Rattus norvegicus: one gene and its partner. The protein of the gene in region 1 interacts with the protein of each later gene in a pairwise test. Links are inferred from orthologs where the notes say so. Each region holds a gene or a part of one and is shown in the gene's direction. Other genes may lie near its edges.

Region 1 (7,338 bases):
ATACCTTTAATCTCAGCCTCAGAGGTAGAGGCAGGTCAATCTCTGTGAGTTCAAGGCCAGACAGGGTTACATTATGAGACCCTGTCTCTAAAAAAACAAACAAAACAAAACAAAACAAATATAACACATAAAGCTTTCAGTCATCTTGACCTAGTGCTCCCCAGTGGGAATATCCTATACATAGTCCCTTTACCACTGCCAGGACCTTAACAGCACATCCAAGACCTAATAATCCCATTCAGGAAGCCACAGCCTTACTGGAATCTCACCAGTGTTCCCATTTTTGTCCCCTTTTGTGTCCCAGGGTCTAGAAATGCCTGTGTCTGATCTACATGGTGACTGTGACTCCTCCAGAGTCATTTAAGGAACTACTAATACAGCCCAAGTCCCCTCCACCACTGCCCTTTCACCTGCCTCTTTGTCAGGAGACAGGATTTTCTACATTCCCAGCCCTGTCCCCGTGTCCCTGACTCTGCCTACCTCATATCTCCCAGCTCACAGGCCACATACATGTGTGCATGAATGCACCCTAAGATGGCCTTCTCCCATAGGTGCTGGGAGAGCTGCACTAGTTGGGCTATGTTAGTCTGAGGCTACCCACTCCATGGGTGTTCTCCACCTCAGAGGAGAGAAGACATACTTAGAGGGGGACTATCTCAGCTTCCTTCCCTGTCTCATGATCCCCTTTCTGTCCATGACTCACTCACCTGTCTCTGACCACTGCTCTTTATCCCAAGGCCTTTTTGGTTACTTCCCCAAGCACTCTGGGAAGGACTGTACCCCCTTCAAATGCCTTCTGTGTGTCCCATTCACCATTTACAAAGGGCTTTTGGTGTCTGTTGCTTCAGTGTGGCTTATGACAAGGCAATTAGGTGCTCCGCAGCAGACGAGTGTTTTCCCCGTCCCCCATGATAATGGGGAATGGAACTGCGGTTGTGGCAGTCTTTGCTCTTCCAGGCAGTTGGGCCGGCTGCTGTTTATCTTAGGATGCTCTCCCAGCCTGCCCAGACATGACCTCACCCTCTCCCAAATCATCCCTGGGAGGCAGAATGGAGTCTCTGACCAGTGCTGCCTCCATTTCACAGATGGGAAAACTAAGGCAGGGGGGTGTCATGGATAATAGAGAAAAGGGAAGGAAAAGAGTGGAAAAAAGAAAAGAGGAGGGGAAGAGAGTAGAGGTGGGAGAGGAGGGTAGGAGAAGAGAGGTGGAGAGGCGAGGAAAGGAGGGGAGGGGAGCAAAGAGCTTTAACAAGTGGATCTGCACCCTGGGGCCTGATCTTGCCCCTCTGCCATTGACTAGGAGGTCTTTAATGGTCTTGAGTGCCATTAAATACTGCGGGCCACTAACTGTGTCCAATCTCACACAGATTTCCTGTCCAGGGAGTTTGCAGTTGGCATCAGCGTCAGGGAGAAAGGCTGAGACCAGTCCTGTAGGGCCAAGATTGCCTGCCAGTCAAGTCTACAGAGCACAGAAGTGTTTTTGTTTTTTGTGGTGCTGGGAATTGAACCCAGGATCTTGTGTATGCTAGGCAAATACTCTACCACTGAGCTACACTCCCCAGTTTCCTCTGTGTGTGTGTGTGTGTGTGTGTGTGTGTGTGTGTGTGTGTGTGTGTGTGTGTTCTCGCGTGCTGGTGTGTTCTATGGGCTATGGCTTTGATATCCTACCTAGAGAATAGGTGGGCTGTCTGGTTCAAATAGTCAGTCCACAGCTTCTCCCAGGCTGCTATCTTGGCTTCTCAACAAGCATGGAAAAGGAGGGCTGTTACAGACCTACTGTACAGATGAGGACATTGAGGCCACCCAGGACACAGAGCAAGTCAGCCAGGAGTGGCTGGATGTCTGGTTTAAACTCCAGAGCTGTGTCAGCACCACCAAGCCACTGTCCCCCAAAGGAGGTACACAGAGCCAGCAGAAGGCTGGGAGGAGGGAAGGGAAGGCAGGGATGGAGTGAGGAGCCCAGACTTGGCCTGCTCTGTGGATTCCTCCCAGCTGGCCCTGCCTTCCTGTCCTGAGTGGAGGTTAAAGAAGCTCAGAGGAGGAAAGGTCAGGCTGGGAGAGAAGCAGGAGCTAGCCAAAACAATCCACACCCTGTTCCCCATGGCCAGGACCTGAACGCTGGGTAGGAGGGCACCACCCCTGCCCTCTAAAGATGTAGTCTGCTTCAGAAGCCTTGAAACTACAAGGGAAATGCATTGAGCATAGGAATCGGATACAGGCTACAGTGCTGACTTAAAGCTCCTTTTCATCCCCCAATAGCTTCTTCTCATTCCAGCCCTGTCCCACCTTGACCACCTGTCCTACCCCTCCTCTAAGGCCTGTCAATCATGTTTTGTTTTGTTTTATCCCCCAAACCAACCCTTTAGCCTAGGACTTTTAAAATGGCTTGTGTCCGTCGACCTAGACAGAGCAGAATTCCTAACGCAACGTTATGTGTCTCAGAACATTTTAACGAAGTCAGAAAGTTATTTGGGGCCAATCTGTCCTGAGCACTTCTCTAGTTTGTTTATGGTAAAAGCTGGACCGGTGGGAGCAAACGGCGGAGCCTCGGCTTCCGTAATGTCATCGGACAAGTGACGCCATCGACCCTGGTCACGGTGGTGTTCATCACCCTACAGGCAGGATGACATCACCGTCGGAACCCGCACGGACAAGTGCGTGCTGGGTGAATTAGCTAATTGCTGGGGAGAGTGTGGAGTGAGCGACCAGCGGCTAAACCCCGGGAGAGGAGGGGGCAGAGGGAGGATCCCGGAGCCCCGCCCCCTCGGTAACCGCTGCGAGATGGCCAATCCGGGCAGGCCGCAGTGATGCGCAGCCTATCAGAGACCAGATGTCTCCCGGAGGTTCCGCGTTAGACTTGGCCCTCAAGGCAGGGGGGGGGGGGGGGGGGAGCGGCCCACCGCAGCTCAAGTCCCTGCTGCCTGCCTCCGGGGGTCTGGCAGGTCCCGGCCTGCCACCTCCCCGGAGACTTGATGGCCACGGAGGGCCTGGCAGGGGCGCTGGCCACCGTGCTGGGGGGGAAGGGGTTGCTGGTGCAGAGCTGTGACTCGGAGCCGGCTGGCAAGCCGCTGTTGCCCGTGCGACTGCGGAAGAATGTCTGCTACGTGGTGCTGGCCGTGTTCCTCAACGAGCAGGTGAGCGTCCGACGACTAGCCAGCCTTCGGCTGGTCTCGGGAGCGTGCCGCCTGCCCTGATCGAAACAGGCGAGCCAACGGCCGCTGCCTGTGCGTGGCGATCCCAATGTTGCAAAGCACTCTCACACTAGCAACTGAGCAGAGATTGTCCTTATATAGACTCTATAATATAGAAGAAGAAGCTGAGGTCCCGGAGCAGTTATCTCATTCACTAGACCTCGTCCCACACCAGGAGAGGCCTGTAGTATTCCTCCTTCCTTTCCAGGAGTCTAGCAGTGCCTGACATGCAACGGGGATTTCCTGGACTCTCCCGGCCCCAAGGGTAGAAATGGGAAGCTTACATGCAGGCCTCCGACCCTCAGAGTTCTTTTTAGTGATTACCTCTGTATAAGTCAGCGTTATAAAATCCTGGCCAGGGGTTGGGGATTTGGCTCAGTGGTAGAGCGCTTGCCTAGCAACCGCAAGGCCCTGGGTTCGGTCCCCAGCTCCGGGGGGGGGGGGGGGGGGCGCGGGTATCCTGGTCAAGTAGGGGTAGGCTGGTATGGAGGTGGAGCTGAGTTTCAAAGCCTCAGATCTTAGATTGAGGATCTGACACAAGCGGTTTGTAAGTCACATGGAAACAAGAGCAAGACAGTGGCATAAATGAGTCAGTATAGGAGTGGTGGCAGCCTTCAGGATGAGGCCTCCTTAGAGCAACGCCCAAGGACCTCAGACCCTTTCTACAACAGAAATTCCTCCGGGTCCAAAGTTGAGTTACAACAAAAAGGAGGCAGCCACAGCTCTCAGCCTCACCAGGGCCTGGCTCCTGGGGATCCAGCATCATGAAGGTGTCTCTACTAAAGGAGCTTTGGACCACCATCCAGGTAGGAGCTGCTCTTTTGAAGCTCCCAGATTAGCTGGAAAGTGAAGATTGTCTTGCTTCCCTCTCAGGATGAGGTGTTGATGATCCAGGAGGCCAAGAGAGAATGCCGGGGAACATGGTACCTCCCGGCAGGAAGAATGGAACCAGGGGAGACCATCGTGGAGGCCATGCAGCGGGAGGTGAAGGAGGAGGCTGGGCTGCTCTGTGAGCCAGTGACACTGCTGTCTGTGGAGGAGAGGGGTGCCTCTTGGATCCGTTTTGTATTCCTTGCTCGACCAACAGGTACAACACAGCTGGTAGCATTCAAGCACCTTTCTTATTGTTTCTTCTTCTTAGCCAGCCATACTGTGGGCTTCTGCACATTGCCCAGGCTAAGAGGCTACAAGCTAAGAGTTTTGGGGTCTCCTGGGGGTGTTTGGGGGGCCATTTACTCTCTCAGGCTCTACACTTCTCATATTGGCCCTCTCCCCATCCTCCAAATCTCTCCTAGGTGGAGTTCTCAAGACTTCCAAGAATGCTGATTCTGAGTCCCTACAGGCTGGCTGGTACCCACGGGTCTCCCTGCCCACACCGCTTAGAGCTCATGATGTTGTGCACCTGGTAGAGCTAGGTGCCAAATTCTGCCAACAAGCCACACACCCTCTCATTCTGCCTCAAGAGCTTCCCTGCAATATGGTCTGCCAGCGGCTGGTGGCCACCTTTACAACAGTTCAGTCAGTGTGGGTGTTGGTGGGTACAGTGGGGACACCTCACTTGCCCATCACTGCCTGTGGCTTTACCCCTATGGAACAAAGAGGTGGCATCAAGGTGGCCATCTTGAGGCTACTACAAGAGTGTCTGACTCTGCACAGTTTGGCAGTGGAGACCAAGGGGTTGCTTGGGCTGCAACATCTCGGCAGAGACCACGTGGATGGTATCTGCCTGAATGTGCTGGTGACAGTGGCTTTTCGGAACCCAGGAATCCAAGATGAGCCCCCAAAGATTCGGGGGGAAAACTACTTTTGGTGGAAGGTACTGGAGGAAGACTTACAAAAACAGCTTCTACACAGACTCCAGGAATCTTCTGTTGTCCCCCTGACCAGATAGATACCAGCAGTGACCAAAAGCTGAGCAGCCACCCTCCCTCTGAGGCAGTGAAGAGACTGGCAGTCAGGGGTCTCATTGCACATTACTCAGGTACAGGAACTACACATTGAGCCCAAAGGGAGGGTGCCATGAATCCAGTCATTCTGAGGGCACACGATGCTTCTCTTTAAGTTTGAAAGGAGCTTTTCGAACCGTAAATGGCACCATCTTCTCTGTCCACTTTGGAAAAGGCCGCATGTCAATCCTTCCAACCCCACAGCAATGTAGAGGGGGATGGGACAAGGGGGATGCATCCCTCAGGGCAGAGTCCTCATTGCTGAGTAAAAAGGTGTTGCTTAACTTGCCTACTTGCCTAAATGTCTGTGTGGGGAGGATATGGGGCATTGTCCCACCCATAGCCACCCAGGTCTTTCCTTACTGATTCTATGCAGGGGTGTAGGGCTCCTGGAGTAGACATTGCTCCTCACTGAAGCCTCGACCCACCCAGGCTCTCTTTAGTGTTTCTGTCCTGTTGGGGCAGGCGTGGGACTTTGAAGTGACCACACCCCTAATAAAAACAGAGCTCAGACCTGTCCAGGTGGTGAATGGTTTGGTCTGGTGAAACTGCCTATGGAACAAGAGCTGAGGACGACACCTTGGCCTCTGCCTGCCTTTTTCTCTTTGTGCTTCCTGGGCCCTGACCTGTTGTTCCATGTGCTTTCTGGTCCTGGGTTTTTGGTTCATGCCCTATCCTCAGTTCATGTGCCCCAGGCTGACTGTGAACTCTTATAATGTAGCTGATGATGACCTTGAATATCTGATCATCCAGCTTCTGTAAAACTCAAGCACTTTTATCAACCGTTAACACTCCCAGGCCATCACAGGATTCTGTTTTCTTGAGATAGACTCTGCCCACATAGACCAGGCTGACCTCAATCAAGTTTGTTGTGATCTTCTGCCTCCGATTCTTGAGTCCTGGGAATACAGATGTGCTCCAGAGGCCAACGCCAAGCTGCTTATCATCATCATTATTATTATCTGATGAAAACCTTGAGGCTGGAGAGGTGGCCCAGCTCAGCATTTAAGAGCATGTGCAGCTCTTTCACAACCACCTCCAGTTCCAGGCTTCCTAGCACCATCTCTGGCCTCTGTGGGCTCTCCACTCAATGTGCACATCTCCAATGCAGACATACATAATTAAAAATAAAAATTTAAATAAAAGCCAAAAGTAGTGGGGCAAAGGAAATGTATCACGTGTTGCTAATCATCGCATCTAGGGGAAAGATTTCCAACTCAGAGGAGCAGGGAAACACGCTTCCTAGCATTCCTTTTTCACAGAGGACAGGATTTAGCTTGAGGAGCCAGAAAACTCGCTGATCCTTTGCCTCGTGCCCCGGGCCTCCTTTGGTAACCATCTTGTCTGGTTTCCAGAGAGGAATCTTTAGAATCTCTGAAGACATTTTTCAAATGCTAAAGCAACGCGAAGTGTGGTGGCATATGTTTTTTTTTTTTTTTTTTTCTTTTTTTCGGAGCTGGGGACTGAACCCAGGGCCTTGCGCTTGCTAGGCAAGCGCTCTACCACCGAGCTAAATCCCCAACCCGGCATATGTCTTTTACCCCGACATCTGGGAGGCAGAGGCAGAAGGATCTCCAGGAGTCTATAGAGCAAGTCCCAGGACAACTAGTACTACAGAGAGGCCCTGTTTCAAAAGGAAAAGGAACAAAATAAATGGAAGTCTTTCCTATCTTTTTTACTTTTGGAGTGCTGTGGGTTGAGCCCAGGGCCTCACACATTCTGGGTAAGCAGGCTACCTAATGATCCCAGTGAAAAACAAAACCTTTTATTCAGGTCAGGACTCCTTCAGTTCCTCCACACACAGAGAAGGGCAATGACATCCACTCCCACTATTTAGCCTCATAGGTTTGTTTTTTTTTTTTTTTTTAAGATTATGTGAGTACACTGTTACTCTCTTCAGACACACCAGAAAGGGCATCAGATCTCACTACAGATGGTTGTGAGCCACCATGTGGTTGCTGGGAATTGAACTCAAGACCTCTGGAAGAGCAGTTAGTGCTCTTAACCACTGAGCCATCTCTCCAGCCCAGTCTGGTAGTTATTGATCCTGAGTACCCATCACTGTCACCCAGAGAGTTCTCAGTTCTGTCCACTCACTATAGTGACTAAGCTGCTGAAACCTGCTGGGTGCTGGCACTTTGTGCTAGACTGGCACGCAGAAAGCTCCAGTGACCTTCCTGTTTCCTTTACCCATGGCACTA
Region 2 (7,338 bases), on another chromosome or scaffold:
CATGTGGTTGCTGAGAATTGAACTCAGGACCTCTGGAGGAGCAGACAGTGTTCTTAACCACTGAGCCATCTCTCTAGCCCAAGGCTGCTGTATCTTTTTTTTTTTTTTTTTTTTTTTGAGCTGGGGATCGAACCCAGGGCCTTGCACTTCCTAGGCAAGCGCTCTACCACTGAGCTAAATCCCCAACCCCAAGGCTGCTGTATCTTAAACCCACTTTTGCTGTGTCCCTTCATTTGTCTCCAGTGCATGGGCTGCCCTTCCATGACCCCAGGGTTCCAATTCTGTTGCCCTGTAAAGGGAGCCACCTCATTATTTGCCAAATACTTTAGGTTGGGATCCTGATAAAAGGCCAGAAGCTGGCCTGAGTCCAGCTTGTTTCCTCTACTGTTTCCTTTGGGTCTTACTCTCATCCTGCCGTCATTGTGCCCCTTGATTCTCAGTTCAACCTGGCAGCACCAGCATTCTGTTAGACCCCTCCAACCCCTCAAGGTCCAAGAGCAACCAGCAGCCTTTCGCCTCTGCCTCTTTACACAGGGTGATCTTGGACAAGGTATTTGCCCTCGGGTTCCCCATGTGGGAACTAGTAAATAGTCAGCAGGGATTCTGTGAGAAAAAAGTTCCTAGTGTAAGATTACAGCTGGTGACTATGTAACCCAGGCTCCTGAAACCACTGTTCCCTTGCCTGACATCTGTTCCTAAGTACCCTAGGCAAGGCTGGGTCCTACTCTCCCTGCTGCACCCAAAAAGTTGAATACCTGGCAGCTGTCCCACTGATTTGGCTGAAGAAGGGATAATAACATTGCCCCTCACCTACCCCAATAAGGAGACTCTAGCTCCTGATGATGCCATCAGTATTGATCTTTGCCTATGCCAAGTACACTGTTGGAGGATGGACAAGATGACTTCATAGTATCCCATGGCAATCAACTCTGCTCTGTAATACACTCTTCTGGTTAACTGTCAGCCTTATTTAGTACTGGACAGCCTTTACTCAGCTGTTTGCCCCACCCTGGTCACATGAAACCAACTTCCCACTCAGTACTAAGGCAGGACCCAAAGAGGTACATAGTCCCCCCCCCCCCCCATATCTGTGCCTGAGAGCTTACCTGACTGACATCCCCCCAACTCCCCACCCAAAATTGACTTTAGGCAGAGGCCGATCCCTCTACTTCTCATCTCATTCTTCCTTTCCCTTATCATTTAGCCTTTGAGGAGGAGGAAGTCCAGGTATTGGAGGCCCAAAGCAATAATATGTATAATTGCCTTGATCTCTTCCTGGTGCCTCACCCCCATGTGACATTTGATCTGCTGCCCTTTAAAGCCAGCCCTGATTAAACACTCTAGGAGTCTAAGTACTTACTCTCTTGCCATTCCAAGCCTTTGACTTGGGGGAGTGAGCACTTGGTTCCTGAGTCTTCAGAGTCTGGTGGTTCCCAGCAAGACATTGCACAATGTCAGCTTCCTCTGAAATGGAGAAGCCACCTGCACAGTCCAGGCCTTGACCCCATTACAGAAAAAGGGTTTCCCCAGCAACTACTGGACATCCGCTATTTTAGTTTAAGACTAGACAGGTTACTTGGTGTGTGACCTTGGACTGCAGACCATAGACTGGGTGCCTTTGCAGAAGGATATGACTACTCCCACTCTGGATATCTCTCCGTCCCTGGCCATATGCCTGCCATTTACCACTAGGTATCAATCAAAATTATTATTATATGATAGACAAAAGCACAGTTTCAGCCTTTGGTGGGTGTGACTGGGGTTCACTCTGGGGAAGAAGTTAGGTTTACAAAACTCATGAGGAAGTTACAAAATTTAAGAAATCCCCACAGTTTCCCACCATCCTCCCTACCCACAATTTTTCGTCCCCACTGCATCGATGTGTTCTTTTTGGAAGGACAGCACACAGGTCTCAGGAGTTCCCACCAGAGAACATCCTGACTGCAGCAGGTATGGAGGCTGTGTGCCTGGAAATTGGGCTTTACAGGAAGGGCAATGGCAGGGTGCCAAGTCTTGACAAATGTAGCATTGTGTGACCATCTGAAAACTACGGAGCCGGGAGCCAGGAGACTGCAAAACACCTACAGGTGCACTATGTATGCACACTGCTGGATGTCTAAGGTCTGATGCATAAACTGGGTGTCCACCAGTTCAGCATACTCCTGGATCAGTTACAAAGTGAGTTAATGGCCTCCCTCCTTCCTGCTCTTAAAGCTGTGGGGGTGAGGCACGCTGTTTACAGTCACTTCTCAATTATCAGAATTTTTTTTTCTTTTAGAGACAGAGTCTCTCACTACCGTACCCCCTGCTGACCTCGAATTCCTAGAAATCCTGGGCTCTCAGTGCTGGGATTAAAGTAGCGAACCAATGTATCAGCCAGTTGTCAGGTTTGTTACTTTCAGGCCTAAGTCCTAGAGGCTTTGCCAGTTCCAAAGGGTGTCAAGTTACTGCTGGTGGGCCTGAGACCCAAATGAGTGCAGATGCTCCAGGCATGGCTGGCACCTGAGTTCTGCTTCTGAAGGCTACCAGGTCCATGCGCTGGCCATTTAGAACAAGGTGGGAACAGGAATCTGTCGCGAGGCCCACCTTCCCACCAAGCTGGCCCGCGTTGACTACATGGTCCTGGAGACCTCGCCAGCAAAAAGCAAACAGCGTGATGTAGGACAGGAATAAAGATCGAACAGCGAGGCAAGGAGGCAAGAAGAGGGAAAGAATCTGGTGGTGTTTTTCTCTGCTGTAGCCGAGACAGTCATAGGAACTGGGCCAGAGCCTTTTGCCCCTCCTCGGCTAGGCTAGGCTTCCTTTTTTCCTTTTTTTATTTTTTTGCTCCCTCACCCTCTACCCCCTCTGCCTCCTCTGCCCCGCCTCCCACTTCCTCCCGGACAACCCCACCCTTTGTCCCCTCCTCCCCTCCCGCTTAGTCTCCTTAGTTCCGTCCCTCCAGCCCTGGGCTCCGCCCTTTTGCAACCTGTCCCTCCCCCACTGTCTGCCCTGTCCCTTTCTACCAACCTTGGCCCCATCCCTCCTGTGCTGTCTTCCGCCCCCTTGTTCCCATCCTATTCTGCTACGTCCTGTTTCAGCTCCTTTGCTGCGACCCTTCTGCTCTGCCTTTGCCCCTCCTCCTCCCCCTGTCCCGCCCACTTCCTCTCTGCCCCGCCTCCTTTCCTTGCCTCGCCCCTCCCTCGTTACGTCTCTCTCTCTCTCTCACAGCCTCTGATCCTTGGCCTACAAAGGGTTTGGCGAAATCCAAAGTTTGAGTGCCTGTCTTGTGTAGGTGCGGTGCGCCGCGCTACCCCCCCCCACGTGCTCTACTGCGCATGCGTGCGGGCTGCGCTTGCGCACTGACATCCGCGGCGCAGCTCTGCTTGGTGGTGCCGGCCTCTGGACCGAGCGGCCATGGGGTGGCGGGCGGCTGGGTCGCTGAGAGCCAGGTAGCAGTAGGGCAGCAGGGACCGCTGGCTCGGCCCAGCATGTAGACGTCCACGCGGGCGCGCGGCAGCCGACGGTGAGTGCGGGGCCTGGGGTCGCCCTCTGCCGGGCGTCACTTGCCGGGACCCGTGGAGACCGGGTCACCGCGCCGGCCCTGCCCACCTGCCCGAGGCCGGGTGCTGGTGGCACTGACGCGCCTCCCTGCGTCCGAATGTGGGTTGTGGCCAGGATGACGTGTGGTCTCGGGAACGAGCCCAGGGGACAGGTCTGAGGTTCAGGTCCGGGAATGGGTCTGGGGACGAGTCAGAGGTTCGGGTCCTGGGAGAAGCCAGGTAGGCCGCCGATCTGTTCCTGGCCAGTTCAGCGTGCAGCACCGCAGCCGACTCAGCTTCATTGGTCTTCCAATGGGGCCTTAGCAAGCAGGAGAGGCCTTGGCATGTGAAACTTCAGAAGCCAAAGCTAGTGCAAAGTAGTGAACCAAGCGTTGTGTAAAGCAGTCGGGGTGTGAAATTCTCCAAGATCCCATCGTAAACTTAGTATCCAGTACTTGCCAGAAACTTCCAAAGTCCTGAAGAGTCCATGGAGATGTTCCTAGAGGCAGCTGCCTCTCATGAAGTCACACTCACAGGCCGCTTGTCTTGGCCTCTGGCAGGTTTCTTAGTTGTGCGAATAGGGCGCGCCCAGCTCAGTTCCAGGGCCCGTCTTTCCTTGGCAAAGATCAGGCGTCTCTTCCTAGCTCTCCCAAGCAATAGGCTTTCTCTTGGCTGTGATTCTGAATAGCAAATTGTTTTTTCCTTTTTTGTTTGGGAACACGCTCTGTTTCAGTTCAAAACTTATTCGTTTGGCTTGGCTCTTGAGAAGAATGTTTTTCAAACTTATACTCATTTATTTTATGTATCACTGTCGGTTTCCACGGGCCCGACGCTGGCATCCTTGCCTTAGTTAATTAAAAACATCTGACCTTCCCTCTCAACATAGCTCTTCTGAGCCTTTAGTGGCCCGTCCTTTGGAGTTTAGTATATTTGTCCTCAGCAGACACTTCACTGTGACTTACACAACCCATCTTGGACTCTGGGCAGCGACAGGTGCCAATATACAGTCTGACCAAGTAGCTTCATTTTGGAGGTGGCATCTCGGGATGCTTCTGCTTTTTCTCCTTTGTAGATTTATTTATTAAAAACAATCACTGGGACTGCTGTTTTCTTCCTTTTTCCCTTTTCATCTTGTTTGAAGTGTTACAGATCCAGCCCAGATCGTGTCCCACTTAGCCGCAACCCATCTCACACCTCTCCCTTTGGGTAGACATGGATAACAGATAAAACAGCAGTACTTAAATGAACATTAGTTCTCTAGGCTTCACTTGGAGAATGGAGAGAAGCCAGTGGCTTTTCTTTTCCTTTTTTTTTTTTTTTTTTTTTTAAATGGGAATGGATACACACTCACTACTGCTCATGTGTCGAAGAACTTCCAAGAGTTGGTTTTCTCCTTCTACCGTGTGTTCCCTGGATTAAAGTCAAGACATTAGGCTTGGCAGTAAGTGCCTTTACCTGCTGAGCCATCTCTCTGGTCATTTGTTTTTAGACATAACCTCATGTATGCCAAGCTGATTTCTAATTCCCTGTGTAGCCAAGGGCGACTCTGAACTTCTTGTCCTGTGTGTATCTCTGCATGTTGGGATTTACAGGCATGAACCAACCATATCCAGTTGAGCTTTTTCTTGTTTTAATGTGGTGTTGGGATGAAGCCCAAGGCTTTGTCTATGTAAGCACTGTGACTTCTTCTGAGCCTTTTTTTTTTTTTTTTTTGCGGGTTGGAGGATGGAGTTCCAGTCAGGGTTTCTCTGGCCCAAAACTCACTCTGTAGACTAGGCTGCCCTTGAACTCAGGGATCCCTTGCCTCTGCCTCCTGAGTGCTGGGATTAAAGACTTACACCACCACTCTTTTAAAGATTTATTTTATTTTGAGTTTATGTGTACGCATGTGTGTCTGTGTGTGTGGTTATTATTGCACAGAGTATGGGTGCCTTGGAAGCAGGAAGAGGGTGTCAGATCCCTGGGTCCTAGGAAGGAAACTCAAGTTCTCTGGGAGCAACAAAAGCCTCTTAACTGTCGAGGCTTCTCTCCAGTCCCTTAGGTGGTAGAAATGGATTCACCTCCATTTTCTTTCTTTCTTTTTTTTAAAGACTTTTATTTATTTTATGTATGTGAGTACACTGTAGCTGTCTTCAGACACACCAGAAGAGGGCATCAGATCCCATTACAGATGGTTGCGAGCCACCATATGGTTACTGGGAATTAAACTCAGGACCTCTGGAAGAGCAGCCAGTGCTCTTAACCATTGAGCCATCTCTCCACCCCTGTCTGCTTTCTGGTGTAGCAGCAAGAGAGCCAGAGAGTTGTTCAAAATGCTCAACACTGTGAGGAGGTGCCTTGGGAGGACAAGAGGGTGGACCTCGGGCTGTGATCTCAGGCTCCACTTTCTAGGACTTATGAGATCTGCTTACAGTTACCATAGGACTCTGACCCTCCTGAAGGAGTGTCACTTTCAACCCCAAGAAGCCATTCTTATTCTTGTGATTGTTGCTTACCTTATCACTGTCCTATATTCTGATCCATGGAGGCTGCCCTCCATGGTGCAGTAGAAAATGTGGCAACACCCGACCACTTAGCCTCCTAGACCAGAATGGCTCCTTCAGGTCCGTGAAGCACTTCCACTACCAGATAGATGGGTTCTGCAATCCCATTCCTTAGAACTTTCCAGAAACAGCACACTCCCCCCCCCCCACCTGTCTGCTAGCTTGGATATCATTTATTTGTAGAAATGAAGTAGGTATTAGGTAATCACTAAACCAGGCCATTGTGGCTCACTGTGGTACCAGTAGGGTCGATATAGCAACACTGTCTCATAAAACAAGAACTTGAAACTTTTCCAACTTGGTATTAACTAATGAAGTTAACCATTTCCCTGTTACTCTCACTAATTTTCCTTCTTTTTCTTTCTTTTTTTTTCTCTCCTGCCCATTTCTTCCTTCATTCCTTCTATTTTTAAAGACTCAGACTTTAGTAGCACAGATTGCAGTCCTACCTCTGCATGCTGAGTCCTTGGGTCACAGGTGCGTACCAACGCGCCTGCCTGGCTTTACTTCTCATTTATGATTCTCCTGCGAAGCTCACGTGAAGTTGAACTTGTTTGTATTAAGTCTCTTGTGGGGCTCTGTGTGTGTGTCCCTGCCTGTTTTTGGTTCCTGTTGTACATGAGTTTATTGACCTATTTCAATATTGATGTCTTTCTGGCTACATTTATAAGTTCTTGATGCATACTCCATAATGCTTTTCCAGGCCAGCCAGGGCTACTCAACAACAACAAATTGCACCAGGTTTAGCTAAGTGCACCCACCCCCACCTGCTGCCTCAGCATATATAACCTTGTCTAGCCATAGTTTCCACTTCGCTTCTTTTAGAGACTTATTTTATGTATGTAAGGACACTGTTGCACTCTTCAGATACACCAGAAGAGAGCATCCCATCCCATTACAGATGATTGTGAGCCATCCCTCCAGCCCCTCCATATCCCTTTCTAGACCTTGTTTGCAAGAATGACCTAGAGAAAGGTTGGGGACAAAAGGCTACAGAATTTAAAAAAAAAAAAAAAGAGGAATGATTGTTAGTTCCAATAACTCGAATTCAATCCCAGGGAGCCTCAGGGTAAAGGAGGGAAAGGATTTAAGAGCTATCCTCTGACTGCCACATGGAGATTAAGGGGTGCAATCGAGTATGTGTGCACAAACCCATAAGTAAATGTGTCTGTTTATTTACTTATTTTTTTCCTCCCTAAATTTATTTTTTTGGGGGGCAGGGATGGTGTGTGTTTCAAATCAGGGTCTCTCTGTGTTTTCCTGCCTGTCCTAGA

What was found.
Region 2: the proteins of Nudt18 (region 1) and Nadk interact in a two-hybrid assay, tested with the Homo sapiens proteins (2 studies listed by BioGRID and IntAct). The two-hybrid records come from large-scale screens. The link is inferred for Rattus norvegicus from reciprocal best matches to the Homo sapiens genes NUDT18 and NADK.

What each region holds. Positions count from the first base shown.
Region 1 is NC_086033.1:52,057,402-52,064,739, forward strand, and holds Nudt18 (8-oxo-dGDP phosphatase NUDT18), read left to right. Parts: upstream 1-2,895; 5' UTR 2,896-2,972; coding exon 2,973-3,134; intron 3,135-3,178; exon of another isoform or gene 3,179-3,456; intron 3,457-3,611; exon of another isoform or gene 3,612-3,955; coding exon of another isoform or gene 3,956-3,997; intron 3,998-4,064; coding exon 4,065-4,278; intron 4,279-4,486; coding exon 4,487-5,082; 3' UTR 5,083-5,421; downstream 5,422-7,338. UniProt on the Homo sapiens protein: Mediates the hydrolysis of oxidized nucleoside diphosphate derivatives. Hydrolyzes 8-oxo-7,8-dihydroguanine (8-oxo-Gua)-containing deoxyribo- and ribonucleoside diphosphates to the monophosphates. Hydrolyzes 8-oxo-dGDP and 8-oxo-GDP with the same efficiencies.
Region 2 is NC_086023.1:171,426,159-171,433,496, forward strand, and holds the start of Nadk (NAD kinase), read left to right. Parts: upstream 1-3,218; 5' UTR 3,219-3,505; intron 3,506-7,338.